Linked DNA regions of Rhinolophus ferrumequinum. The protein of the gene in region 3 interacts with the protein of the main gene of each other region in a pairwise test. Links are inferred from orthologs where the notes say so. Each region holds a gene or a part of one and is shown on either strand. Other genes may lie near its edges. The genes, in order: RAB33A, USP2, CCDC136 and NDN.

Evidence for each region.
Region 1: the proteins of CCDC136 (region 3) and RAB33A interact in binary tests that used the Homo sapiens proteins (3 or more experiments, as listed by UniProt). The two-hybrid records come from large-scale screens. The link is inferred for Rhinolophus ferrumequinum from reciprocal best matches to the Homo sapiens genes CCDC136 and RAB33A.
Region 2: the proteins of CCDC136 (region 3) and USP2 interact in binary tests that used the Homo sapiens proteins (3 or more experiments, as listed by UniProt). The two-hybrid records come from large-scale screens. The link is inferred for Rhinolophus ferrumequinum from reciprocal best matches to the Homo sapiens genes CCDC136 and USP2.
Region 4: the proteins of CCDC136 (region 3) and NDN interact in a two-hybrid assay, tested with the Homo sapiens proteins (2 studies listed by BioGRID). The link is inferred for Rhinolophus ferrumequinum from reciprocal best matches to the Homo sapiens genes CCDC136 and NDN.

What each region holds. Positions count from the first base shown.
Region 1 is NC_046284.1:25,857,602-25,865,432, forward strand, and holds the start of RAB33A (ras-related protein Rab-33A), read right to left. Parts: upstream 3,023-7,831; 5' UTR 2,781-3,022; coding exon 2,511-2,780; intron 1-2,510.
Region 2 is NC_046294.1:88,611,546-88,618,977, reverse strand, and holds the start of USP2 (ubiquitin carboxyl-terminal hydrolase 2), read left to right. Parts: upstream 1-4,410; 5' UTR 4,411-4,585; exon of another isoform or gene 4,586-4,627; intron 4,628-6,658; exon of another isoform or gene 6,659-6,754; intron 6,755-7,432. UniProt on the Homo sapiens protein: Hydrolase that deubiquitinates polyubiquitinated target proteins such as MDM2, MDM4 and CCND1. Isoform 1 and isoform 4 possess both ubiquitin-specific peptidase and isopeptidase activities.
Region 3 is NC_046309.1:17,344,711-17,352,036, reverse strand, and holds the start of CCDC136 (coiled-coil domain-containing protein 136), read left to right. Parts: upstream 1-4,377; coding exon 4,378-4,429; intron 4,430-4,913; exon of another isoform or gene 4,914-5,118; coding exon of another isoform or gene 5,119-5,176; coding exon 5,177-5,284; intron 5,285-6,877; coding exon 6,878-7,132; intron 7,133-7,220; coding exon 7,221-7,295; intron 7,296-7,326. UniProt on the Homo sapiens protein: May play a role in acrosome formation in spermatogenesis and in fertilization.
Region 4 is NC_046311.1:14,636,311-14,642,845, reverse strand, and holds NDN (necdin), read left to right. Parts: upstream 1-4,337; 5' UTR 4,338-4,464; coding exon 4,465-5,442; 3' UTR 5,443-6,020; downstream 6,021-6,535. UniProt on the Homo sapiens protein: Growth suppressor that facilitates the entry of the cell into cell cycle arrest.

The DNA.
Region 1 (7,831 bases), on a different chromosome or scaffold from region 3:
ACACCTAATGGGGTTTCAAACCCCTAGGGATGGCACTGGTAATTAAGAGAGTAGCCCCAAATATGCTAAATCAGTCATCCCCCTGTAGGGGTTGACATAGTGCTACTCTGGGGCACAGGGAGGCAGCCCAGGAGACGCCACACCCTACTCTTGAACTGAGAGAAGAGCTCACTGAGCCCTCTCCATTTTCCTGCGAGGACTGGCATTTTATAGCCTGACAGCCTTTCATTGCTGGCTGTGGTCTAGGGCCACCTCAGCCTGTCAGACTGGACTTTTCTCTCTTCCCCAAAGGGAGAAGCCTTTGGCAGTCACCTCCTAGCATGGTTTTGGTACTTGTTCCTTGAGAAACACCAGGCCATCAGAGTATGGGACCAAATCTTCTTAGATCATGCGCTTGCTGCTATGTTCTGCCATCTTCCCACAGACATGCTGGGCCTGCCTGCTGGCTTTGGCCCTGAAGTTGCAGCAGCTTTACAAGCGGCAGGGTCCCCATCTCCCCACACCCACATCCCACCCTGAGCTCCTTCAGAATCTGCTCTCAGAGGGCTCCTTCATATCACCAAGTTGAAAATATCACCTTCCTCTGAAAAACCTGTATTGAGCACTTCTCTGCACGTGGTGTCCTGCTGAGCTCCGTTTCTAGTGAGTCACACTGTCACAGGCACTGCCCCCTGGGAAAAAGTCCAGAATCTTTGGCAGAGACTACAAAATCCAGTTTGGCTAGGTACTGGGCTGTTGGAAGGGAAGGAACCTTTTAAAAATTCCCCTGAGGTCACTGGGTGATGACCCTCTTCCACTCGTTTTTCACCTCCCATTGTCCAGTTTCTAGCTTCCTTCTCCCCCAGACTCCCAAACACTTCCTTTTTCCTCCCTGTACATTTCAGGTGGACTCATTTCCCCTCTTAAATCCAGAGAGCTGTTTGGCTCAATGTGAAACTTGATTTTAAACAGGCAATAGCATTAAATTTTAAGGGTCTTGAGTGCTTAAGAGCACAGCCGTAAGTATATTTCTACTTTGGATGCTTTAGAAATTCCAGAATCTTACAACTTTACGTAAAGAAGCTAGACACCCTAGAGAAAGTTCTAACCAAGGAAATGTCAACATAAAACCCTGGGAAAGGAGAAAAGACAGATACTTACTTTGACTTTAAAAAGAAAATGTAGGAATTCCCCCCAAAATGTAAGAGGCAAGAAATATCACTATTTCAAAACAGTGTCCTATATTCCTGACCCTGGGGTTTCGTTGTTCTCGAGAACTTTCCCTTACCAGTACTGCAATGCCCATCTTCCTGACATATCTAGTGCCTTGGCCAGGTTTCTGAAGCCATTTTAAAACATGTTCATTTTAATAATCAAGGAGTCTGTACAGTTTACAATGTTCCACATTCTCCCCAGTTACTCAGCCCTTCTCTCCACCTCACGCCTGTGGTCATTTGAGCTGTTTGACCAGCAGGAGGGAGGTTTACCTTTGCAGGACAGGGTCTGACCATAGGCTCAAGAAAAGGCCTGTTGTGGGTCTAGTGGAGTTGGTCTTTAGTGCCCTGTCTTTTGAAGTGACTTTCCTGCCCATAACCCTGCCTCTCTCTGTTCCCCTGACACATTAAGCTGCCCTTGTCATGTCCCCCCTCCCGCTAGCCTCTGCACATTGAAATATCCTGGTCCTATCGAGTTTGCACTGTTGATGAACTGAAAGTGAGTACAAATGGTCAGACAAGAATATCTGTACTTAGCTGATCTCACAAACTAACGAGAGGGTAGGAGCAAGACACTTACTTCCCTTGGCCCTCAGAGAAGTTGCTCTGCATTTTTACAAAGGCCTGCTGAAGACAATACCAATAGAATGAATAATGGCATTAGGTACCCCAGACAAATAAAGAAGATATCATTTGAGGGGGACTGTTCCAAAAGAATAAGTTTTGTCTATTATGGAGGGCTGGCAGGTGACCCTGTCTCAATTTCTTTAAAAGGGCTCATGACTTTGTGCCAGAACCACCCCACTCCACCCCTATTCCAGCTCAGCCATAATCTTAGCCATAAACTGTAATTCTCTGTGGATTTCCATTCTTTCCTCCCCTGTAATGTCTCAGGGCTTAACCAAAGTGGGTTTTTGCACCCTATTGGCACCCAAGAGGAAGAAGAGACCTCAAGATGTGTAAAGTGCTTTGGGATCCACCCCACAGAGCAGGACCAGGTTACCTCATACCTCCCTCTGCCCACAGGTGCCGCTGCTCCTGGCTCAGGGTCAAGGATGGGATCTCACATGCTTTTCCTGGCAGGAGCTGTCAGGCAGGGACAGAGGGCATGAATGCACCCTCTCCGGCCTGCCCTAAAAAAAAACGGGCAAGGTGGGAACCAGGCCGCTGAGAAAGGCGAAAGAGGATGAGGAGGTGCTGAGGGTCTAGGGCTCAGCAAGCAGCGACGCAGCCACGAACCTGACCAGACCGTTCACAACCACTAGAGCATGCGTCAGGCGAGGACCCCTCCCAGAGCCCTCCCTTCCCGGACCTGACCGTCTGGATCACCTTGATCTTCTCGCCCTCGATTTCTACGGTCTTCTCCCTGAAGTCCACACCGATGGTGGCCTCAGTCTTGTCCGGGAAGGTCCCCCCACAGAAGCGGAAGGTCAGGCAGGTCTTGCCCACGTTGGAGTCACCAATAACGATGATTTTGAAGATGCGAATCTGCACGTACTGGTCCAGCGACGAGTCAAGCTCCAGGGATGCCAGGCTAGCTGCCGAGGTGGGCTGCAGGCTCCCATGGCCCAGGATGGGCTGCGCCATCTCCCAGGGACCGGACCGGGGCCCCAACCCTCCTGGTGGGCTCCACACAAAGAAAACGGCCACGTTAGTGCGCTCCAGGCGAGCGAGCTTTGTGCGTGTGTGTGCGTGTCCGTGAGTGTGTCCGCGCGTGTGTGCGTGCGCCGTCCCCGTGCGCGCGCGCGCGCGTGGGGTGCCTTTCACCCCAGGTCCCCCTCCTCCTCTTCCTCCTCCTCCTCCTCCTCCAGTGCACCCTCCTCGCAGCTCGGAGGCACCAACACAAAAGCCAGTCAGGGGAGGAGAGATGGAAGAGAGACTGCAAGGCACGAGCCCTCTCCTTCAGCCTTGCCCTCGGAGGGGCGGGTGGGGCGTGCGACCCCGCCTCCACCGCTGCAGCTGCCGTGGCGCCTTGGCCTAGACCCTCCCCTGTCTGGACCCCAGGGACACACCACAAAGAGGAAGCTTACAGAGGAAAGGAGGGTGGGGAGAGCGGCACACACCACCCCGGGATGGTCCTCCTTTCTCCATGACCCCATTTATTTTATAGATCTCAGGCTCCCCACCCCCATTTTCTCGGAGCGCACGGGGGTCCGCTCTGGAGCATTTCAGCCTCGGAGCAACACCACTTTACTCGGCGGGGACTGGGTGCGGGGAGGAGACACCTCCAGAGCTGCAGGCAGCTGAGCTGAGCCTCTGCAGCTTCCTCCCAAGCCTTGGGATAAAGGGATGCTCTGTTTTATTGAGGAAGCAGGTGCACTCGCGCGCGCGAGGAGCCAGGGAGGGCGCCGCCAATACACGCTGCAGGGCACCGGTGTGCATGTGTAGGGGGAGTTACTGTTTCTCTCACAGACTTGCCAGATGTGTGTGTGGGGGGGTGCGTGCCAGGCGCCAACCTTCCCTCATCACACCAGGAACACCCATCTTCTGAATGTTCAGAAGAGCGGCTCCCATTGGCTGCGGCAGTCAGTTGTGTTTGACTGGCCAATGGGGAAGGCCGGCCACCGGAGGGAGCCATACAGGGGGTAGGAGAAGCGGGGAAGCTAGTGGTGGCAGCTCCAGCAAAAGGGGACTTTGTTTCTGGGGCTAACCATTCCAAGCCCAGGTGGAGGGCTCTTGGGACAAGGCATAAATCTCACAGCGTCTTGCATTCCAGAGCCCTCCATGTAATCATAAGTCCTTCCAGAATGGTGGAGTTTCAAAAGGAATTGGAAACCCCTAGGAGGGTTCACCCCTCTGCAACTGAATGTAGAACAAAGTGGTTGGGTCTAATTTGTTAAAAGCCTAAATTATGCTTGGAAAATGATAAATGAACAGAACTTTCTTCTGGTAGTGGGGAGCAGCTTCCCCAAGCTTATTAAGCATCACACATCTTGGTCAAGACCAGTATTCCCTTTCCCAAATGTGATTTGCAGGTTCACAATTTCTTTAAAATAACTTGACTGAGGTACAATTTCCACACAATAAAGTGCACCACTTTCGTGTTTGCTTTAAGACTTGAACCATCCTTCCACATATTTCATAGGCTAAGGTAATATTAACATATGCCAGTAGCACTGACATGAGTTATTTGCTAATGTCATCAAGGTCAGGGACTCCAGCAAGACACATGAGCTGCCATCTTACTTGTGTGGGGCTCAGCTGCAGAAGAGACAAACATAACTAAATCCATTCCCACTGTGAGAAAAACAATTCAGTGCATCAGTGATAGGTCTGTAAACAAAGTGGAATATGACTGCTCAGCCCAGTCCAAGTTACTCAGAATGGCTGGGGAAATGGGGTCTTCTAGTTATACAGTGTTTCCCCGAAAATAAGACCTACTCGGACAATCAGCTCTAATGTGTCTTTTGGAGCAAAAATTAACATAAGACCTATTTTAATTTTTGCTCCAAAGGACGCATTAGAGCTGATTGTCTGACTAAGTCTTATTTTCGGGGAAACAGGGTAAGCTTTTTAGTTGAGTTAGCAGATATATTTATAGCTAACTCTTTTAGCATATATGTGGGTTACCCATTTCTAAAACCCTAGATCATGCTATTCAATATTAAAACCATCTCAAGAAGGATTTAATCTTAGTTGGATAATCCAAGGTCATCATTATGAATACCAATTATCATTATACAGTGGGAATGGCAATCACCATTGTACAGTATTTTTGTTTTTTATGATTGGTTGATGTCTAGATAATAGTTTGCAGCATCATTGTCGTCTGTATTTGAAGCTAATGCTCCTGGTAATCATTATCTACAGAAGAGCAGCTATTAAAAGGGGGGCAGGTAACTATGAATTAGGCATATCCAACAGGTAGAGCGGAAAGAAGCTTTGCCAATTTATAGCCAGACTTAATGCTAACTTTCTAATATAAAAAAACTATATTCACATAAGATTATTTAGATGTACTAGGTTTACAATTAAGTTTGTGAACTTATTGCAACGATGTTGCTAACATTTTTTTATTTTATTTATGAATACATTATGAATTTGTACCAGCTGGACAGTTAACCAAGTTTACTATCGGGAAGTGCTGAAAAGGCTGCGTGAAAAAGTTAGACAACCTGAACTTTTCGCCAACAACTCAAGGCTCTTACATCACCACAATGCACCAGCTCACAGCACACTGTCTATGAGGGAGTTTTTAGCTAGTAAACAAATCACTGTATTGGAACACCCTCTCTACTTACCTGATCTGGCCCCCAATGACTACTTTTTTTACCCAAAGATAAAGGAAATATGGAAAGGAAGACATTTTGATGACATTCAGGACATCAAGGGTAATACGAGGACAGCTCTGATGGCCATTCTAGAAAATGAGTTCCAAAATTGCTTTGAAGGGTGGACTAGACGCTGGTGTCGGGTGCATAGCTTCCCACGGGGAGTACTTCGAAGGTGACCATAGTGATATTCAGCAATGAGGTATGTAGCACTTTTTCTAGGATGAGTTCGCGAACTTAATTGTCAGACCGCATATGCTTCCAGCAAAAAACTCATCACTGAGTCTGAGAGTTCACATTATATTTGTAAGATAGAAACACTAATTTCTGGAGACTTGATATCTCAAAGTGGGCCCCATTTCCTAATAAAAAGTGTTTGTTACCTCTGTGGGATGAGATTTTGGGGAACTTCCACTTATATTTTTGGAGTTAGTTTTTGATGTGTGTATATTGCTTTTACAAAAAAAGATGAAATATAATTTTTAATTAAAAGGACAAGAAATCTACCTCATTGCACCTATTGCAAAAATAAGTTAAAAGTGCTGTACAATGCCTTTTCTTTGTTAATTGTGCATCATTAAATGCACAATTGACTGTCTTTCAAATTTACCCAGTTGTTTTCATAGGTACCTTATCATCATAATTTTGACAGTGTTTTCCAAAGCCTCATCCACCAACAGATATGATTAACTTTTTATTTAATCAATCCATGTTTATTATTGGCTTTTAGAAATAGCAAGAAATATCAACATCTGTGAAACTTTTAAAATACTAAATATAAATATTTTTTTTACCTTATTGTGGAATTGACATTTTCAATATTTATTCCCCAATGCAGCCCTAGGGGAAAAGTTGCCCACTGCCTGCACTTCTGAACATTACTCTTAATGAGCAAGGGATCCCTGGATCATTTTCACCGAGTAAAGACTGCTTTCTGGGTTAAACTTCCTGAAATGCCTTAGTAATTTCGTTCTCTATCCCTATTCTACTGAAAGCCAAAAATAATGTCATCACCTACACGATTGCGGCCAAACACTTTGGCTAGTTCAAATCTGGCTCCACCATATTAACCTGTCCTCATTTACTTCCTAGTATGTACTCTCTGCCATTGTCTCCTGAAAATGAGCTGGGTTTTGTTTCTTTTATACTTCCAAGCCTTTTGATTTAAACAGCATGGTGCTTCCTCTAAGATGCTTTATTTATGAATATTAGCTCATTTAATTTTCTTATCAACCCTGTGAGATTGGTAGATGAGGAAAGTGAGACACCGTTAAGTGACTTGTCCAAGTGGCAGAGCCAGGATTCAACCTGGGGCAGACTGGATCCAAAATCAATGGTGTTTAATCACTAAAAATATTACCTTCGGTCCCAATGTATTCACCATCTGAAATATCATTTCTCCTCCTCCATTATTTGAATTTCACTACTCATCCTTCAAGACAGGCTCAAGTAATACTTCTTGCTTGAAGTCCTTCCTTAGCTATTTCATCTCATATTCTTTTTTCTTGCTCTTGCACTACATCAGATATTATTATTTAAAATGACCAGTGTATGTCATCTCCCCACCTGGACAGTGACCACTTCCTATATTTTTCGTATCCCCTAGAGCTCTTTTCATATAGTCCAAATGGCAAGTGCTCAATAAATACTTGTTAAGTGAGTATGTAAACCAAAACTTTGAAAAAGGCATATGTTATGTTTTGCATACAGCCAAAATTTATTTCCAATTTAGCTTATATTTGATAGCCAAAACCCCTATTTACACTCAGCCCCGCACCCTACTCCTCCCACAACTCTGAAAGTCCTGCTTAGGCTTTCTCTCGCAGAAAGTCTGTGAAGCACGAACGCTTTTTGCCAGCACCTGCTCTCAAAAAACGAAGTCATAATAAAATAGCAAGAGACTATCCACAGCATCTGATACAGCACTTAGGACTCAGAATTACACAATATAAAAGCGGTATGGGAAAAGAGAGCGCGGAATGAAGACATGCCCCAGAATAGTGGTAAAGTGCCCAGAATAGGGGTTGGATGGGAAGGCAATTTGTAAAAGACGGAAGTCCAATCCGAATCTGGAAAGCCAGGAGCCCCGGCTCAAATCTATGGAAAGACTGGAAGTGGACTACAGCTAGAGAGAGAATCCGGAAGGCTTAGTACTTAGTAGTAGCTAGTGGCCTAAAACAGAAAAACAAAATTTGGTGCTGAGGCCACGCTTTTTGAGGTGCTATTAATATCAGTTCCCAACATCGACACAGCGGCAGCACTCGCCACAAACAGCCAGGCAAATCAGCCCCACGGGTCCCTCCTTGGACAGCTTTTCAAAGTCGCTGAGCCGAACATACTGCCACCAACCCGTGAAAACTAACAAGC
Region 2 (7,432 bases), on a different chromosome or scaffold from region 3:
CGACAATGCACCAGCTCACGCGACACTGTTTTGTCTGTGAGGGCGTTTTTAGCCAGTAAATAAATGACTCTATTGGAACACCGTCCCTACTCACCTGATCTGGCCCCCAGTGACTTCTTTCTTTACCCGAAGATAAAGGAAATATTGAAAGGAAGACATTTTAATGACATTCAGGACCTCAAGGGTAATACGACAACAGCTTTTATGGCCTTTCCAGGAAAAGAGTTCCAAAATTGCTTTGAAGGGTGGACTAGGTGCTGGTATTGGTGCATAGCTTCCCAAGGGGAGTACTTTGATGGTGACTGTAATGATATTCAATAATGAGGTATGCAGTATTTTGTAGGATGAGTTCGCAAACCTAATTGTCAGGCCTCGTACACTATGTTTTTCCCCTATACCTACCTATGATAAAGTTAATTTATAAGTTAGGCACAGTAAGCGATCAACAAGTAATAATTATAACAATTGACTCTAATAAAAGTTATGTGAATGGCCATAGGGCCCATTATTAAGTAAAATAAGGGTTACTTGAATACAAGCTCCGTGGTACTGCGACAGTTGATCTGATAACTGAAATGGCTGCTAAGTGACTAACAAGCACATAGCGTATATAACGCGGATACATTGGACAAAGAAACGATTCACATTCGGGGCCGGATGGAGTGGGATGGCACGAGATTTCATCATACCACTCAGAACAGTGGGCAATGTAATACTTATGAATTATTTATTTCTGGAATTTTCCATTTAATATTTTCGGACCACGGTTGACCGTGGGTAACTGAAACCACAGAAAGTGAAACTGCAGATAAAGTGGACTACTGTGTAACAATCACTGTGCTATAAGCTACACTAGCAATAAAGAGGATAAAGGAACACTAGAGGAAAAGGAGAATGAGAAGGAGCTGTCAAGAGGAATACCAGAAAAGCACTGTATTATAAAACCTAAAGGAGGAAAGAACTTTAAAGAGGAAATAGTTGGAGGAGGGCAATTAACTGATTATAACTAAAAAGGCCTCCTGGAGTTAGCAAGTAGGAGATCACAATGACTGGGTAAGAAGAGTTTCCTGATGTCTGAGAGGTAGAAGGTATGAGGATGCTGCACAGACAGGGAGGTGGGGAAACACAGCCTGCACAACTCTTGCAAGAGAACTGTGAAGAGGAAAGAGCAAGAACCGAAGCTATAGATTTTTATTTTGCAAAGAGGAAGAATTTGGAGACTATTATATGTCAAAGGGAATGTCAGTAGAAAATGAAAGTTTTAAAGCTACAAGACTGAACCTGTGACAGACAGTGACTGTGAACATGAGAACAAATGCTGAAGAGAGACAGTTCAATACATGATTTCTAATGGCCCTTGAGGATGCCTGACAACCCTACTATATTTCCACAATCCATTCTCTCTCCCATTTGCCAGCACAGTGGTTCTCAAAGGGCTGTTCCCAGGCCAGCTGTTCCACCATCACTTGGAAACTTGTTAGAAATGCAAGTTCTGAGGCCTACTCCAGATCTCCAGAATCTGAAATTCTGGGTGGGGCCTTAACAGACTCTGTAGGTAATTCTGATACCCAATCAAGTTTGAGAACCACTACCCTAGGTGGCTGGTTTACAACTCCTCCTCTCTCTCTAAATTTCCAACACTTCCTCCTTTATCCTTGATTCACTCTCAGCTAACCTTGCTTCCTAACTCACTGAGAGAAAAGAGACCACCAGGAGAGAATCTCCACTAGCTTCTACCACATCCATTCACCTCCCTGCAAATATTTTGCCTTCTCTCTTCTTCCTTTGGATGAATTCTCTGTGCCCCTAACCAAGCCAGGCCCTCACTCTGTACTAGATCCCATCCCTTCCTACCTCATCAAGGACATTGCTCCAGCTACTCTCCTCTCTCTCCAGCATTATCAAATCTCACTCTCTATTGGCTCCTTCTCATCAGCTATACAAACATATAGCTATTTCTGCCATTTAAGAAATATTTTTGACCTCATTTCTTTTAGCACCCACCCAATCTCTACTTCCTTTACCACAAAACTCTAGAATTCTCTACACAGTACTGTATCAATCCTTCTCCTCCCATTCTATCTGGAACCCACCCACAATCGAGATTTCACTCCCACACACACCAAAACTATTCTTGTCAAAGTCACCAACAACCTTCTAAATCAATTCTCAGACTCTTCTTATTTTACCTACATGCAGCATTTGACAAAATTTCTATTTCTTTCTTCCTTGGTAAGTTTCCTTTTCTTGGTTTCCAGCATATCACCATCTCCTAGATTTGTTTTTTCCCTATGTCACTGGCCATTCCTAAGTTTCTTTGCTGGTTCCTACTCATTTCTAAAGTCATTTAATGTTGAAGAACTCCAGGATTCAGTCCTTGCACATCTTTCTATTTATACTTGCTCCCTTGGTGATCTCTTCTAAGCTCATGGTCTTAAATAACATCCATATGCTGATGACTCTCAATTTTATATCTCTGACCCAGACTTAGCCAAACTTGTACATCCAACCGCTTTCTTGACATCTTGATGTGCCTGATAGACATCTCAAACTTAATATGTATTAAACCAAGCTCGTGACCTCCCACCACCCCAAAACCTGCTCCTTCCACAGCCTACACCTTCTCAACGTTTAGGCGAAAAATCCCTCCCTTTCTCTCACAGTAGACCTTGTTGGCAGGATATTCAAAATACATTCAGAATCCAACCACTACTCACCACCTCTCACTACACTAACCCAAGCCACTATCAGCTCTCATGGATGATTGCAGGAACCTCCTAAATGGTCTCCTGCTTCTTCTCTGCCTCTCTTCAGATCTGTTCTCCATTCAGCAGCTAAAAGGATTCTGTTAAAAAAAAAAAAAAAAAGTCAGATCCATGTCCCTCCTCTGCTCAAAATCAACGGCTCCCATCTCAGAGTAAAAGCCAAACTCATCAAATTGGCCTTAGAGCCAATTTGAAGTCCCTCCCTTTTTTCTTTGACCCCATCTCCACTCTCTCGCTCTCTCTTTAATCCAGCAACACTGACCTGGTTCTTCCACAAAAGTGGCAAATATGCTCCCACCTCAGGACCTTTGCATTTACTGTTCCCTCTGCCTAGAGCATCATCCCCCAAGATATCAAGATGGCTCATTCCTTCACCTCCTTCAGGTCACTGAAATGTCACCTTCTCATTGAGGCCATCTCTGACCATACTTTACACACTCCATATCCCCCTTCCTGATTTATTTGCCTCCATAGCTATTACTGTCATCTAACATACTATATATCCTACTTATTTGATTATTGTCCTTCTGCCTCTACTAGAATGTAAGCCACTTGAAGGCAAGGATTTTGCCTGTTTTGTTCAATGTTGTATCCCCAAAACCTAGAAGAGCACCTGGCTCGTTCAATAGCCATATGTGGAATGTGACCAGATAAGGGCCCTAAGGAAACAAAGGGTTGAGACCCAGAAGGGATTTGTCTTGAACAAGAAGAGACACACCACATTTTACCTTAAGTAGAGGTAAGAATGGATTCATATATGTTTGTAGGCAGAAATTTAAGTATTTGTCTCCTGATTGCCTATAATTTCTCTGCAAAATAGAAAACACGGAAGGACTTAAGGAGAATAGTAATGGACAGAAATAATAGCAGTGGAGAATGGGAGAAGGAGCTAAGCAGGAGCCAAGGCCTGAGCTCTCCTACAGATAGAGTAGAACCACTCCGAAGCAGCTGGACTTTCTCCTGGAGTGGGGGTGGTGCGCGTTGTACTGGCTTTATTTTTCTAGGATTGATGATCCAGGTGAAATTGAAAACCTGGATTTGCCTTGACACCAATCTACCTGGCTGTGTGTTTTTATTCACCTTCATGGGTAAAGGAGGGAAAGTTTACAAATAAAGAATGGGAATGTCAAAAATTCAAGTTCTGTCTCAGCTTTTTCTTAAAAGACCAAAGAGAATCCCTTCCACTGACTCAGTGCCTCCGTTTGTTTACCCACTGAAGAAGTCATCCCGATCGATGGTCTCCTGTTAGTAAAATGAGGAGTGTCTTTAAGAGTAGAGAAAAAGAAGAGGCTAAAGAGTAGGCTTTCTCCCGGCCCCTCCCTAAAAACTGAAAATTGATATATATGCCAGGTGGCTCAAATTCTGGGCCTTCTCCCCACAACTTTCCCAGTACCTTCCAGCTGCCCCCTGGTGTGACATTCCATTCCACTTCTTTTTGTGCTCATCCCCCTCAAAACTCGCAAGCTTTTCCTCCACGTGGTTCTCCATTTATCTTGCCAGGGAGACCCCTATGAGGGCGGGGCTCTAATGACGCCATAATGGGAACAAGCCAATAGCCGTGACGCTTCTCAGTGACGCAAACGTGGGGTGCGGTTTTGCCTGCCCGGGCGCAATGAGGCGGCTGCCCGCTGGGTGGCACCGATTTCCCGGGGAGGTCCTTTCTGGGCCCCCGGCGGAGGTGGAGGAGAGGCCAGCAAGAGCCAAGGCCAGGGAGCCCTCAGCGTCAGCTGCTCACTGCGCCGCGCCAGTACCAGCCGGGACTCACCCGCAGCTCCATGCTTGTGCCCGGCTCGACTCGTCCATCGTGTGAGAAGAAGCAGGTACATGCCACTTGTCGGAGGCTGGGGAGGAAGGATGCAGAGGTCAGTGCCGTTTGAGACTCAGAAAGTGAGGTGTCAACGACAGCCTAGGCAGAATGGCTACTAGAAATGTAGGGCGAGTGCCAGCTACTGGGAGGAGCTCCAGCTGCGGGTGCCAGTTGTGGGGGGGGGGTGTCGCGGGGGGGGGGGGGAACCTGCCAACTGACAGCCCAGGGTGCCAGGAAGAGCCATCTGTGTGCTGGTCAGTGTGTTCTAAGGAAATGCTGCTTCGGCAGGTCCAGGTCTCTGCCGTGAGGTATGTGGCCTGAGAGTGCCTCCTGGACAATGACAGTCCCTTCCTCAGGTGTGCATGCAGTTCACATACTCCCTGGTGGGGAGGGCTGCCGCTGCTCAGTTTGCCAAAGGAGGTGGGGGAGGGAGAGGGCAACAGTTAAGTAGAAAGGGAAGATTTTCCACCAAATCCAAACCAGAAAGAGGCATCTTTGAAAAATCTCAACAATCCCAAACCAGATGCAGGTGCCGTGCTCCAAGGCAAATAACTTTAGCCAAGCCAAGTCATGGCCATCCCATTCTAGCTGTTCTCTGAGGAGAGAACATCGACTTCCCGACCTGGCTGCTTCTAGAATGGGACTAAGTTGGAGACTGTAGTGATGCTCACCTCCCCAAGCAAGGGTATGAGAAGGTTCCCCAAGTTGGACCCTATAAAGTGGAGGAAAGGAAAGCTGGTTAGGCTGGGGCTTGGGGCATCCCCTACTCCTTTGATGCTGTAGATGCATGCCAACCTGGAATCATCATGAGGACTGGAATGAGGGCCGGGGACAAGGGCATCCTCTGAAGTGCATCATCAGGACCCAAGCTGAGTCAGTAGTCTCTGCTGAAACAGGGTGGAGGCACCGCCTGGGGACTCCCAGTCCGCAGAGAGCACCATCGAGAAACAGACTGGGAGCCAACAAGAGCACCAAAGCCCAAGAGGTTAAGAATCCAGCTCCTTCCTCCTATGACCCTGACCAGCCCAGTTCTGTGGCCTTGGAATCCTGAGCACTCCTACAGGTAGAGTGGAGCCACCCCAGAGCAGCTGGGCTTTCTCCTGGTAGCCTGGGAGAAGCCGCATTTGCTATATTTTTCCAGGCAAAGGGGAAAGGAGCCCAAATGGGCTTGGCCCTTCTTGGCTGAGTGGGGTGGACAGCTGGGAATATAGCAAACCTCATTTGCCCTTGCCAGTTATGGGACATGGACAAGCTCAGAAAAGCCTGGGGCTGTTCTCTGTCATTGGAACAGGGCACTCGGAGGGGTAATGCCCCACATCCTCTGAACCAGAGGTTTTCTCTCTGGTTTACTTGGGAGATGCTACTACAAATACTACCACTAAGTATGATAAGTGGAAGTATTCAGTATAATTATCATTTATTGTACTCCTAGTATGCGCGAGGAAATTTACAAATATTATTTTATCTAATACAACTGAGGTGTAGCATTATTATTGACTATTACTCCAGTTTTAAAGATTATATAACTAAGATTCAGACAGCTTAAGTGATTTGCCCACTGTTTCAGAGTCAATAAAAGAGAAAGAACTGGAATACAAGCCCAGGCCTAGAAGTCTATTATAAAAGAGTTTGGACTGAAAACCTGAGAGCTTGTCCCTCCTGCCTCCCACTGTCTGTGCGCCCTTGAGCAAGCTGCTGGCCATCTCAAGGTCTTCTGCATCTCAAAACTGAAGGAACTGGATTAGCACTGTGGCCTCTTCCTCTTCTCTAATTCTGTGACTGACACCTCCTTCTCCATATTTTTGCCTCAATTCCAGCCCCATCCCTCTGCCCTCTTTCCAGTTGTTTCCCCTTGAATCCCTCTTTTGTTCCATGTCAGAATGACCCCCTTCAAAGAGTCCTCTTGGATTTCCTTGCCTGGCATGCTGGCCCATCAGGGCAGACCCTCGAGAGAGGGCCTGTCACTGCCCCTTTAATTCTCCCCGGGTTTGGAATGCAAGTGAGTTGAGCTAGCCATCCCTCTGAGGTCAGATAAGATACTATATATATATCAGAGTCAGTAACCTGAGCTCCAGATTACCCAGCCCAGAGTCAGACTCCAGTCTCCCAGCTCTCTACTGCGCTCCTGGCCCTGCTGGGGAAGGAGAAGCCCCCAGATCCTGTCCATTGCCCCCGGACACAGGTCAGTAGCTGCCCCTTCAGTATCTGAGCTCTGCAGATCCGCTGAACAGATTGTCTACTGGGGGAACATTTAAGAGGTCGCCCCACTGGGCTTGGTGGGTGCTGTGGGCAAGACCAAAGGCTAGAGGCTGACGACAAAGCCACTCTCCCCTGGGGAGGGGACACCAGGAGAGTGCCTGGACAGAGGTGGCTAGAAAAGGGTATTTAAGGATTCCAGTACTGCTTGAGGCTGGGGGGAGGGGCATTTCATTGTCTTTTCTTGGAAGTTTAGGATGCCTACCCCCTCCCAACCCCAAATCAGGAAGTGCCCAATAGGGACACTATCCTAGGCCCACCCACTTTTTTTCCACCAATCAGAATTCTTGTTCTAATCTTTAATCTCTTTATTTTATCTCTTCTGCCCCTCTCCCAGCCCTTGGGCAACTAGTGGGAGTCAAGAGACAGAAATGGACCCAAATTTCCTTGGATGACCCCCTGCCAAGGCATGCAAGACAATCAGGCACTAAACTGGTGGGTTACTGGGTGCCAGCCCCTGAGAGACAGAGCTGCTAGTGACAGGCTGGAGGGGAGGGGACAGGTTGAGGCTCCTGGGGGCCTGAGAGAATTAGACAGAGCTCCTGGATTATGTGAGCACAAATATCCCCGTTCCCCTTCTCCATTCTACCTGCATCCTCCACAC
Region 3 (7,326 bases):
TCAACCCTGAGAGACTGAAGTGCCAAGTCTGAACAAAGCTTGTACTGCATCTGGATTGATATTTTTTGCATGGTGCTGCTCCTCGAGCAGAGAAATTAAATATAATCCTGGTTTAGGACCCTTGAAATCCCTAGGAAAATATCACACAGCCCCCACAGAAGCAAAGAAGTGTTCTGTAAGAATGTTTTCATAACCAAGGGTATATGCGATTCTCACTAAAAAACAGAAACACAAACGAAAACACCTGCTGAAGAAGAGCTCACAATGAAATATTATAAACTAGACAAGGAAGCAATCCACCGTAAGGAGGAGTCAGCAGATACAGCAAACAGGAGACTTAACACTCCAAAAACTGTGCATAATAGAACAATGTGAAAAACAAGTATATAAGAATACTTAAAAGCATTAAAGACTAAAGATAAGAAAATATACCATAATAAAAATATTGTATGATGAAAAAAGCAGTTTATTGGAGGGCTATAAAACATTAAGAAATGAAAAACATACCATTGAAATTAAAGACTCAGTGATCCATTAAACAGTAGACTAGACCCAACTGGAAAGAGAATTAGTGACTTGGAAGACAGCGGTAATAAAAATCATTCAAAACGGGGGTGGTGAGGGGAAAGTGATGAAATAGAAAATATGAAAGAATAATTTAAAAACATGAGAGAAAGAATAATGTGTATATATATATGTGTGTGTGTGTGTGTGTGTATTTTGCCTTTCATACCATTATATATATATATAAAATAGGAGTTCCTGAAGAATGGGGGAACATAATATTCTAACAGATAATGGTTGAGGATTTTCCAAAATGGAAGAAAGACAGAGTCCTCAGGTTGAAGAGTCCTGAGTTTATAAATACATTGTGGTGAAACTGTAGACTACTGAAGAGGAAGAGAAAACTCTTAAAAGCAACCAGAAAAAAAAGAAAAAGTCATCATTGCCTACAAAGTTAACAATTATATTGGAAGCGGACTTCGTATTAGCCACAAAATTTTATACAAAAAAATAAAACATTTTCAAAAGACCAAGAAAAAAACTGTCAACCACAAATTCTATGCCCACTAAATTTCCATTTAAATGGCGTGACATAAGGACAGATTAACACAAAGACTGAGACTGTTTACCACTCAAACAGTTTCACTGAAATGCCACCGAAGGATATACTTCATAAGAAGGAAGGCGTGGACTCCAAGAACAATGGTGAAAAGAGAAATTTATAAATGTGTTAGTGAATCTAAACAAGCATCGAAAGCCACTGTAAGTAGAGTGTAAATTGGTCCAGCTTCCTGATACAGCAATTTGGCAATAACTAGTACAGTTTACCTAGCAATGTTAAACACATATTCTATGACCAAAAAATGCTATTTCTAGGTATCCACCTTAGAGAAGTGCTTACATATATGCCAAAGAGGCATGCATATCACTGTCTGTGGCAGCATTGTTTATAATACAGAAAACTGGAAACATTGTAAATGCCCATCAGCAGAAGAATGGATAAATAAATTGTGGTATATTCAAACAATGAAATAGTATTCCGTAGTTAAAATTCACAAATTGGAGGAGCTACATGAAACAACATGGATACATGAAAAAAAAAAAAAAAAAGTTGAGAAAAAAGAAAGTTTACATAAAAATGTATACGAAAGAACACCATTTAGATAGGTTTTTAAGCACACAAATCAATCTTCCGTATTGCTTGTGGATGCGTACATATGGAGCAAAACTGTAAAACCATAAATCGAAAGGCTATCTCTGAACCAGATGTGGCAAAACATGAACAGTTGTTGGATTTCAGCAGTGTGTGCATGGGTATTTGTTATGTTATTCTCTGTCCTGTACTTTTCTGCATGTTTAAAAGCTCCACATTTTCTTTCTTTTTAATGAAGGGATCTAGGCAGTTAGAAATAAGGGTAAATGGGGATAAATGGCCACATCAATCCTCAGAGAGGATGATCTGTGGGAAGGGATTAGGAGGGAGGCTGAGTCCTGAGTCCAGGGATTTTGAGGATTAGTGCACATCATCCCCCTAAGCTGATTACCTGGCTGGCATTCCAACCACTTCCGCCCCTTCTGAGCTGCAGCCCAGGGCCCCAGGCCACTTACCTACACCTGCTGTGCCCTTTCCTCCTGCCTCCTAACTTCACCCCACCCTCAACCCAGTGCTGGTCTGGCCAGGGATGGCCCAAATTTGGGTCTTGAGAATAGATTGGCTCAGGTCTCCCCTGAATACTTACCCAATGAAGGGTGAATAGTGACCTGCACCCCGGAAGCCAAGGAGAGATTAGTCTTAATGCCCAGGATCAGAGCTCCCCGAGGACAGGTTGGACCCCCGGACGTCACAGTTGACAATGTCCTCCCCTGCCCCTCCCTCCATCAGCCAAAAAGTTAGCAATCAAGGTCAACTGCTCACTGACCATACTGGCTGAGCCAGAACCACAGCTGTGCTGTGGCAGAACAAATAGCCACTGAGCTTCCAGCATTAGGCTCTATCAGTCCCCAGAGCTCTCTGCACCCCCACCCTCCCAATGCCAGCCTCTTTCCACCATCTCTGACAATTGCCCTGCTCACCAAGTCTAGACAAGCCTGATAGATGCAGCAGACCCTCTGGAACGGGTCTGAGTGGTCTTGTTCAACAGCCTTTCCCCATGACTGGGTCACCTTGACCACAGGACCGGGAGTGAAATCCTGTCATCTGGGGAGCAAATGAAACCTCCTTGACCTGTGCTCGTCATCTCTCAGAGCACACCAGGCTGGAGGTATGAGGGGGAGAAAAAAAGGAGAGGAGAAAGAGAGGGAGAGAGAGAGAGAGAGAGAGAGAGAGAGAGAGAGAGAGAGAGAGAGAGAGAGAGAGAGACTTATAGGGCAACATCATCATTATTAGGTAACATTTAACTCCCTAAGTGTGAAATCATGTTAAATGATAAGACACTATTAACTGCATAGTTGGGAGATTTACCTTTACTCATTTATTCTATGTGTCAGGTACTTTGCCAGATGCTAGAGATAAAAAGAAAAAAATGACTAAGATACTCCCCAACCTTCCAGAAAGTGGGCAAACAGAAGAGTAAACACCTGACCTTGACAACCCAGAGTGACTGGCACTGCCCTAGAGGGCAGGAGGGCAGGGTGGAGCGAGCAGGGGCATCTCACAGGGATGTCAGAGAAGGCTGCCCACAGGTGACCCCGATGAAGGGGTGAAGGATAAGTAGGGGATGCCCAGCCAAAGGAGGACTTCTTTCCTGAGTATTATGGGGGGCTTGTGAAGGTGGGAGATGGGGGGTGGACACAGATAATAGGTACCCATGACTTTGTGAGTAGGTATGCAAGAGAAGGAATTGGTGTGTGTCCCTGGCTTGGGAATCTCCTGGTACTTTTCTGCATCTGCTGGGATGCCCAGGTTCCCAAGTGTGTCACCACTTCTTTCCTGCAAAGATGTGAGAACAACTGCCTTGGGCTCCTGGTAGACATTCCTTGAGTGAATGACTGAATAAGTGAAACCAGCTCTCTGGGCTTCCACCTCTCCCTTTTGCCAGAGTGAAAATCAGCAGTACGCACTCTGAGACGGCTGCACCGGCAGGGTGGGTGGGGGTCGTGGCTTGCAGCCCACGGGGTGTAGGGCCAGTTGGGAAGGCCGAGTGGTGGAGTGAGGAGGTCTCCAGGCAGCCAAGGCTGCGTGGGGCCATGGAGCGGGCGCTCCTGAGGGTCCCTGGTTCTGGCTTGGTGGAGGCGTCAGGAAAGCAGAGAGATCAAGGACCCGCATTTCATGTATTCCGGCCTTGGCTTCCCTGGTCCATTTCTCATGCAGCTCTGGGGAGCGAGAGGCCACTGCGCCGCGCTGGGGCGGCGAAAGGGGGTCAGCGCTAACAACGGAGGTGGGGGCATGGGTCTTGAGTGATGTGAGCGTGTCTACGCGTTTGGAAGGAACAGGCCGGGAGCATTTGTCCATCTTTGACCTTTTCTTCCACCACTGAGAGGGACGGGGACCTGACAAATGGCGCAGACGGGTCCTCGTGCGCAGTCGACTCCAGGAAGGACCCATCACCAGAGCAAGGGATCTTGTGTCTACCTCTTGGGGAGACCTCAAGTCCCGACGAGCCTCGGCCCGCTCGCCCCACTCGCTCGGCGAGGCCACGAGCGTCCTGGGACGCGCTCCCTCACCCTTCCCGCTCCCGCCTGCCCGCACCCGGTCGCGCAGCGGAGCGGGCTTCCAGGCGGCGGCGGACCGCGGGCGGCGGCGGCGTCAGGTGGCCCGGCCAGGCCCCGCCCCCTCGGCCCGCCCCCCCAGCCCTGCGCGCCAGGCTCCGGGTCCCGGCCTCGCTGCTGCGGCGTCTGCTCCCGGCGGCGGCGGCGGCGGCAGCGCGAGAGGCCATGGAGGCGGGCGCCGAGGCCGGCGCGGGAGCCGAGGGCTGGAGCTGCCCAGGTCAGAGCCGCCCCTCCCTCACCTCTCCCCCGCCGCGCCTTCCTCTTCTCCATCTTTCCTCCCTGCAGACCCCCACGTCTTCCCTCCCTCCGCTGCGCCCACCTTCCCCTCCTAAATCTCCCTCCCTCCGTCCCGCCCCTCACCCGGGCCCGGTCTCCATCTTTCCCGCTGAGTCTTCCGCCACCGGCAGCATCCTCTCTGGCAGTTCTTTCCCTGAGCCCTCTCCATCACGTCTCTCCAGCCCAGGGGGCTCCAGCCCCTGCACCCCCGAAGGCTTCTTAGCGCAGGGCGAGGGTGGGGCGGGCGAGGTCCAGGGAGAGAATGGAGGGGAGGGGAGCGGCTCTGGCCCAGACCCCTTCCCACGGCGCCTCCTGCCCATCGCCACCTGCCTCCCCTTCCACGCACCACCTCACCCTTTCAGCCGCTTCTTTACTAGCTTCTGCCCTCTCTCCCATCCTTTCCCCTCTCCTCCTGTCCCCTCTAGGCTAAAGAGACACACGCCCCTTCCGTCTGTGCAAGGGAGAGGAGCCTTGAACGGAGGCTGCTGAGGAGGTTGGGCCGCGCAGGGCGGGGTCCCCGCAGGCCCAGCGCGAGGGGCGGCTGAAGGAGCAGAGTCGCGGTGCTGGGCGGAGTGAGCCGAGCACGTCCACCAGGATTGAAACCCTCAGGGCTCCAAAGGGCTAGAAGGCATGCCAGCCCCCAGCCGCCCCTGGCATCCCACAATCCCTCCTCTCTCCCTGCTCACAGGACCCACAGTAACCACTCTGGGCTCCTACGAGGTATCCGAGGGCTGTGAGAGGAAGAAAGGCCAACGCTGGGGGTCCTTGGAGAGGCGGGGGATGCAAGCTATGGAGGGTGAGTTTTCCCAGAAAGCTTTCTTTCTCTCCCCCTCTTCCCTCCTCCCTCTGATCCCCAGAACTCTGGGCCCTTTCCCCAGTTCACCTGAGGCCCCTCCACCCCTCCTCAGGGTTGAGGATTTGAGGGAGGTGCCCAGCGCCTCCCTTTGGGGCCTTAATCACAAGCTAACCAGGTTGTGTCCTGGGGAAGCTGCCAGACAGAGAAAGGCCTGGTTGGACAGAGCTTTGAAGCAGCCTTTCTGCAGGGGGTTTGTTCTCACTGCCTCTCGACCCAGATCCCAACCTGTCTCTTCTTTTGAAAAGCAGAGAAGTGAGCATGTGAATTGTCTTCCTGGTGTCACCACCACTAACTTTATATGCAAGCCTTGTGCCTTTGGTGCTCTAGGGTCGCATACTGCCTGAGAGAGATTGCCTGGGAGGGGGACAGGTGAGAAGGCCAACCTCCCAACACTCCTGTGACCCCACCACACCCATGCACCTTGGTAGTTGTTGCCAACACCAGGCCCCTAAAAGGATGCTGGTCCGTTTTTCCATGACTTCCTGTGAAGTGTCCTCAGACCCCTGTGCACCCTCAGTGTGGGCAACCCTGTTCCCCCAAAGGGAACAGAAAATGCAAGGGGTCCCAGATGAACCTTAGGCTGCTGTTATCGGAGAAAGTAAGACCAGGGATTCAGAATTTTAAAACAAAGCCAACAATCACCACCCAGACAAGATTTTTGCTATTTGGAGGAACTGCATTGCAGCAAAGGAGGGGGTGCTTGCCAACCAGAGGCTGGGGACCAGCACACCCCAGTTTCTTAATGCATTAAAATGGCACACAAGTACCTCAGACTTTACGCACAAGTACCTCAGACTTCCGCCCTGAAAACTACTCTGTACATTGATCAGCCGCGGGAAAGGCCTCATAACACTCAGGGAGGGGAGAGGAAACCCGCGCCCCCCCCCCCCCACACACACACACTCAGCAGGGAAAAGGAAGGTGGGCCTTGTGGAAAATTTCAAAAAGGCTATTCGATAGAGCACATTTAAAAGGGCCCCCGTTTGTCCAGTAAAACATTGAGACTCGCTTCATTTAGCTGTTTTCTTTGTTTGCCTACTGACAGGCAATGCGATCTTATTACGGAAAGGCTAATTTCTCACAAGCTACCTGGACAGTTTTTGAACTCTCTACAAAGACCCCGACTGTAACTCTTGCCCCATTTGGCCTAAAGACACGTCCAGTGTCTGAATCTTTTCTTGACTACTTGTCCCACGCCCCAGAGACCAGGACTGGAAGGAGTGGGTATTCTTATGCAAACTTCACATGGCTGAGCCAGCACTGAGCTGCTCAGTTTCCCCAAAGGCAGTAATAGGAGGCCACCAGGTGCAGCACTGGTCCAGAAAGGGCCTGGGCGGGGGAATGGGCTACCTCCAAATATGACCCTCACACCTGAGGACTCAGGAGTGCAGGTCCTCCCCAGGGGCTCTTTGGGGGACACCAGGTGGCACTAGTATGCCATCTCTGCCCGGGGACAGTGAGTTTGAGGGCCCTCGGAGGACTGTGGAAAGGAAGTTGGCTCTGACCCCCTGGCGGGATGGGTGTCTCTCCTAGGGGAAGTGTTACTCCCAGCTCTCTATGAGGAGGAAGAGGAGGAGGAGGAGGAGGAGGAAGAGGTGGAAGAAGAAGAAGATCAAGTTCAGAAAGGTGGCAGTGTAGGTTCCCTATCAGTTGGGAAGCACCGGGGCCTGAGCCTCACGGAGACAGAGCTGGAGGAGCTGAGGGCTCAGGTGCTGCAGCTGGTGACAGAGCTGGAGGAGACCCGGGAACTGGCAGGGCAGCATGAGGACGACTCCCTGGAGCTGCAGGGTGAGTGTCCATGCTGGGGCCTGAGGGCTGCGCCCAAATGCTCTATGCTCACCATCCCAGGCCTGATGCTGGCCCTCTCTCCATGCAGGGCTCTTGGAGGATGAACGGCTGGCCAGCGCCCAGCAGGCAGAAGTGTTCACCAAGCAGATCCAGCAACTCCAAGGTAAATCCCAGCCTTCAAGCTGGAGAGGCGA
Region 4 (6,535 bases), on a different chromosome or scaffold from region 3:
TATCTTTTTGGATATGTCTCCTTAGATAAGGGAAACAAAAGAAAAAATAAACATATGAGACTATATCAAACTAAAAAGTGATGGAAACCATCAATAAAACAAAAAGACAACCTACTGATTGGGAGAAGATATTCACAAATGATATATCTGATAAGGGGTTGATATCTAAAATATATTAAGGAACTCATACAACTCAATAACAAAAAATAAACATCCAATCAAAAAATGGGCAGAATACCTGAATAGACATTTCTCCAAAGAGGACATACAGATGGCCAACAGACATGTGAAAGGATACTCAATTTCACTAATCATCAGGGAAATGTAAATCAAAACTACCATGAGATGTCACCTCACACCTGTCAGAATGGCTATTATTGAAAAGTCAACAAACAAGTGTTGGTGAGGATGTGGAGAAAAGGGAACCTTTGTGCACTATTGATGGGAATGTAAATTGGTGCAGCCACGATGGAAAACAGTATGGAGGTTCCTCAAAAATCTGAAAATAGAACTACCATATGACCCAGCAATTCCACTTCTGGGCATTTATCCAAAGAAAATGAAAACACTAATTTGTAAACATATCTGCACCACTATGTTCACTGCAGCATTACTTACAATAGCCAAGACGTGGAAGCAGCTTAGGTGTCCATTGATAGATAAATGGAGAAAGAAGATGAGATGTGTGTGTGTGTGTGTGTGTGTGTGTACACACGTGCACACACGTGTGTGTAATGAAAAATTATTCAGCAATAAAAAAGCATGAAATCCTGCTATTTGCGAGAACATGGATGGACCTAGAGTGTATTATGTAAGTGAAAGAAGTCAGTTAGAGACAGACAAAAATCACATGATTTTACTTATATATGGAAGTTTAAAAAATCAAAGCAAACGAACAAACAAAACAAAACTAGACTCACAAAAACAAAAAATAAACTGATGGGGGTGGGTGGGTGATAGGATTTGTCACAAAGGTGAAGGGAAATATCGTCAATAACAGTGTGATATAGTCAATATTGTCAATAACGGTGACAGATGGGTACGAGACTTAGAGTGGTGATCATATTGTAACGTATATAAATGTCAAATCACTATGTTGTACACCTGAAACTAATCTAAAATTGTATGCCAACTATACTTTAATGTAAAAAACAACGGATAAAGACAGCACAAAAAGAGATCACTACAGACCAATATCCCAGAAGAACACACACACAAGAATCCTCAACAAAATACCAGCAGATTGAATCAGCAATATGTAAAAAGAATTACGCAACACAAACTTGAACGCAGGTCTGTTTATTTGACAGGATTTATCATCAAGAAGAAATGTCCCAGAAACAGATACAGTGAGGAAATCCTATATGTCTGGAAAGAGGCCTGTTGGTTCAGCTCTGTCTTTCTTCCTTCTCACTTGTTATTTTCAATGATTCTCAACAAGAAAAGGTACGGCCCATAAAAGGGCTTTTGGCACTGTAGGGGGAGGGCATCTTTTTTCTCTTCTTACACTTTCTGTTCTGTCCATGTCAGAAAGACGTTTACATGTGTGTTTACGGGGACCAAGGTGTCAATCTCTGTGGTGTGTGTTACATTTTCACACAATGAAAAATTACCCCACCCTCGCACCACGAGCGGTCCCCTTGAAGAATTCTGCTCTAGATGCTCTCAGGGTGACATTATTTACCGTCTTACCTCCCAAACCTCACTTTTCAGCCCAGGCCTCTTTCCTGAGACCTATATATCCAGATATCTGCAGGGCGTGTCCACTCTCTTCTCCGAGTAGTCTCAGGAAACAGTGCCTCCATATCCTAGCCGCGTGGCACTGGTCGATCCCGGCCACCCCGAGACAGAGTCTGGTCGTCCCCGGCACTCAGTCTCCCCTCGCATCTCCTTATTATCTATATCTTCTCTGCCATCCCTGCTCGACACTGGTTCCCTTTATTCTCTGCTCTGCCTCAATATCATGGCTCCTTCGTGGTACGCATCACACCATGATTATTTAATTACTCATTTGTTTCTTTGCTCGGGGCCCTCCCCCTCCACCATTTCCCCTCACGATACACTGCAGAGACCAGGTCTCTTCTCGTTCTATACTCAGGCACAATGCCCGAAATGTAGGGTGTAGTAAATAGTTGCACCCTCCTTTCCAAGTGGAGTCCCGTGGAAGGTCTCCAAGGCGGTCTCTCTACCTCTCCTTCTCCACCTGCCCCCAGCCTCCATCCAGGCTTCACTCTGATTCCAGTTGACCTTTCTGAAGACACCGACCCTGTCCGTGCCTGAGTGTCAGTCCCTGTGGGTCCCTGTGGGTCTGGGCGGGACGAGAAGCTCTCACATTTCAGTGAGTGTCCTTGGGCCTCAGTTGGACAGGCATGCAGTGTCACTCTAGGGACACTGGAGTGGCTGAGGGGCCAGGCTCGAGTCCCCTCCCTTCACCTCCCAACTGTAAAAAACAGCCCTGCCTGGTCTCACATCTTATTCTTTTCTAAGAAAAAGTGGCCAGGCTGCAAACAGTCCCGATGGGTTGTTTTCCACCCCCCGAGAACGAGCTACTTTTCTAAAATGAAACTCTCAGGCACATAACAGACGTTGCTCAATAATTGCTGAGCACGTTCATGCGAGTTATCTTCCTCAGTCCTTCAGCCTGCATGTGGGGCCCGTGCGGGACTCAAGGTTGAGTGTGCTGCCTGTGTGGACAGGATGGGGCCAGAAAGAGTCACATTTCACGCGGGGCCTCTGGGCCTCTGTGCTGTGAGCATGCGTGCTCTCCCCCGGAGGCTCCAGGGTGACCCCCCTTCCTCTGTTCACTATGGAAACCAGTGGCAGGACAGGCCTCTCCTCCCGTTCCCCGAGTCTGCCAAGAACAGCCTATCCCACAGCTGTGTAATCGGTTCCACATTATAGAGTTTGAAGGAAGCCACCAGCAAAACTGTCTGCACCAGAAGATTTTAAGTGGTAACTTCTCCATAGACTTCCTGCATCCATGAAACTAGATTTACAGAATCTAGATTTTAAAGGCAGCCCTTCACGAGTTTGCTTGGGGAGCTTTTTTGTAAACTTTGAGCATTTGCTTCTAAGATGCTGGCGGGGAAGGACTCATTGCCCTTATCAAATAGGGCCAACCTGGGGAAACCCAGCAAGCCTGATGAATCCTCAGAATTCTCAGGGCAACACTGGATCTCATCCCCAATCCTTGACCTTGAATTAAAGGAGTTGTAGAAGCCTCATGAGTACTGGCTTCCTCTTCTTCCCCTCCCGTGGTGTCATCTGTCCCCTTCCTTATGGTCACGAAAGTCTGCATCTCTGGCTTATGGGTAGGCACCTTCTTAGGAAGCCATCAAGCTACTGACCCCTCCCGTGACACACGTGCCAGTGCATTTTCTCTACTTAAAGGTGGTCCCAAGCTTTACATATTTCCACGTCCCTTTACAGGAACTTTCTTGTTGGTGGGCAATGGAGCCTCTTCAGCAGACCTCATCCTCGTCATCTGAAGAGGCGTCCAGTTGGGCTGCAAGCGTGAGCATCGCTAAGGGTCTACCCTGTACTTGATTCCAAACTTGGGATTCGGTTCCAATACTCTAAACCCTCCGAGCACAAACTACACACCCTGACACAGTCCTAGCCGGCCCTCCTGCCAGCCGTGAGCTGTGACGGAGCTGTGGTAGACACGAGGCTCCACTGTTGGCCAGGGGCAGCCTCACCAGAATGAGGCGCAGTCCAGCTCCGGCAGCAACTGAATCCCAGGAGGCTGCTGTCTGGCCTGAGCTCTGAGAGCTCCCGAGCAGGACATCTTAAACGGTTGTAATTGTCGTGCTTTTATGAACATTTTCATAAGTGCTTCTATACATGTTACATACCCAAGGTGCCAAAAACATGTATACACATGACTTGTATTCATCTTTCGTTATCAGCCTATATTGAGTACTACAATTTTAATACAGTGCTTTTCCTTTCTTAATATGTGTGTGTATATATATTTGTCAGGAAACCCACCTTTACACAACAGCCGACGCCTTTCTCTGGGGCGCTTGTATCTAATCTGCTTCTGGATGTACCTTGTTAAACGTTTTCTAAGAAACTCAACCTCAGCATCTCAGAAGTTAAGTTCTCATCTTTCTGCTTCAGTTTGCTCCTTCTCCAGTGCTCACCCTTCTCCGTCCCCAGACGTGCTTGGCGCCCACAGGCCACCCGGGGGTCACTGCTGCCCTTATCCCAGCTGCCCTCACCCTCTCAGGGGGCTCGGGGGACACCCGCCCCGTCGGGCTCCCCGCCCCACCCCCGGCAGCCGGGCCCGCGGTGGCGGACGCGCAGGCGCAGTGGCCGCCCGCCGCCGCCCCGCCCCTCCTGGCCTCTGCGGAAGGCGCCGCGCGCAGCAACGCGCACTTCCTCTCCAGGAGTCCGCGGAGGGAGCGCAAGCTCGAAGAGCTCCTGGACGCAGAGGCCCTGCCCTGGTCACACAGAGCCGACATGTCGGAACAAAGTAAGGATGAGTGCGACCCCGGCTTTGCAGCCCAGGCCGCCACCTGCGAGGTGCACGGCGGCAGCGGGGTTCCCGGGGGGCCCTCGGCGCCCGCGTCTCAGGCCGCGACCCTCGCAGGGCCGGACAGCCCCGCCGCAGGCCCGAGCGACGCCCCTGTCGCCTCGCCGCCGCCCCAGGCCCCGAGCGACGAGGCCGACCCGAAGGCCCTGCAGCAGGCCGCGGAGGAAGGCCGCGCCCAGCAGGCCCCGAGCGCGGCCCAGCCCGGCCCCGCGCCGCCCGCCCCGGCCCAGCTGGTGCAGAAGGCGCACGAGCTCATGTGGTACGTGCTGGTGAAGGACCAGAAGAGGATGATCATCTGGTTCCCAGACATGGTGAAAGATGTCATCGGCAGCTACAAGAAGTGGTGCCGCAGCATCCTGAGGCGCACCAGCCTCATCCTCGCCCGAGTGTTCGGGCTGCACCTGAGGCTGAGCAGCCTGCACACCATGGAGTTCTCGCTGGTCAAAGCGCTCGAGCCCGAGGAGCTGGACAGGGTGGCGCTGAGCAACCGCATGCCCATGACAGGCCTCCTGCTCATGATCCTGAGCCTCATCTATGTGAAGGGCCGCGGCGCCCGGGAGAGCGCGGTCTGGAACGTGCTGCGCATCCTCGGGCTGCGGCCCTGGAAGAAGCACTCCACCTTTGGCGACGTGAGGAAGCTCATCACCGAGGAGTTCGTGCAGCAGAACTACCTGAAGTACCAGCGCGTACCCCACGTGGAGCCACCTGAATACGAGTTCTTCTGGGGCGCCCGCGCCAGCCGGGAGATCACCAAGATGCAAATCATGGAGTTTCTGGCCAGGGTCTTTAAGAAAGACCCCCAGGCCTGGCCTTCCCGATACAGAGAGGCTCTGGAGGAGGCCAGGGCGCTGCGGGAGGCCGAGCCCACTGCCCACTGCCCCCGCAGCAGTGTCTCCGAGGACTAGCAAGGTCTGGAGGCAGATTCCTGGTGTCTGACCCTCACCAGGGTGGCGGGGCGGGGGTGGGTGGGCGGTAGCGTATTCAGGATTTCCAGTGCAGTATTTCACGTGTAACTTTTAAGTTTTCAGTACAGTGCTTTTATACCTTTTAATGCAATGTTGTATTCATTTCAGTACTATTAGGTAGTGGGTAGGACTTCTGCATGTTTGTTTATAAGTAAGCTCGGTCGGTGCTTTCGCTTTTGTGCTACCTTTCTTGAATTTTTGTACCAGAGATGTGCTAAACTTATGAAATACATTGAGAAGTTTTCCATCTTATTCTTTTCTATGGAACGGATGATGTGTGTCTCGGGTAGACTGCCCCGGGGAGGCAGGAAGAACTCCCCAGTAAAGCTGGCCTGACCAAGAGAAAAGTCAAGGTCCCCTCAGTTAATGACCTCGCGGGGCACAGGAAACACCCGTGCGGAGTGCGCCGGTGTGGTCTCACATGGTCTCAATGTGGGCACTTGGCACAGTTTACTAAACACAAGTACAACCCCACCATGAGTAAACTTGCAACATTAAAGATTCTTGTGATACAATCATTTTTGGAAAAGTGTACTTTATCTCTTTCACAATGTAAGTTGGGAGTGAGACGTTTTTCAAAATGTACAAATACCATAACTTTTTCGTCTACTAAGGTGGGACAGTCACGACTCATCGTTACTCCTAAAAGTGTGAACGCTACAGTTTTATTGTTTAAATGTAACTCACAGGTTCACGTCAAAACTTCGACAACTACAGAAAAGTAGAAAAACAAGAAAAAGAAAGCAAACATGCTCATAATCACACCACGTAAAAACCACTGTTAACGTCCTCTCTTGAATTTTGTACATTTTATTAAAATTAATAGCTGTGTTTTGTGGGCACTTAAAGAGGGAGGCATTGTACTAAACCCTTCCCGTGCATTTGCTCCTTTGATTGAATCCTCACGACGGCCTTATGAGACAGGCTTTCATTACATCTGCCCCGAGCAAAGTCGGGAACTAACTTTCCCTGGATCCGAAAGCTTAGTAAGAGGAGGAGCTGGGATTTGAACCCAGACAGAGTGGGTCCAGAG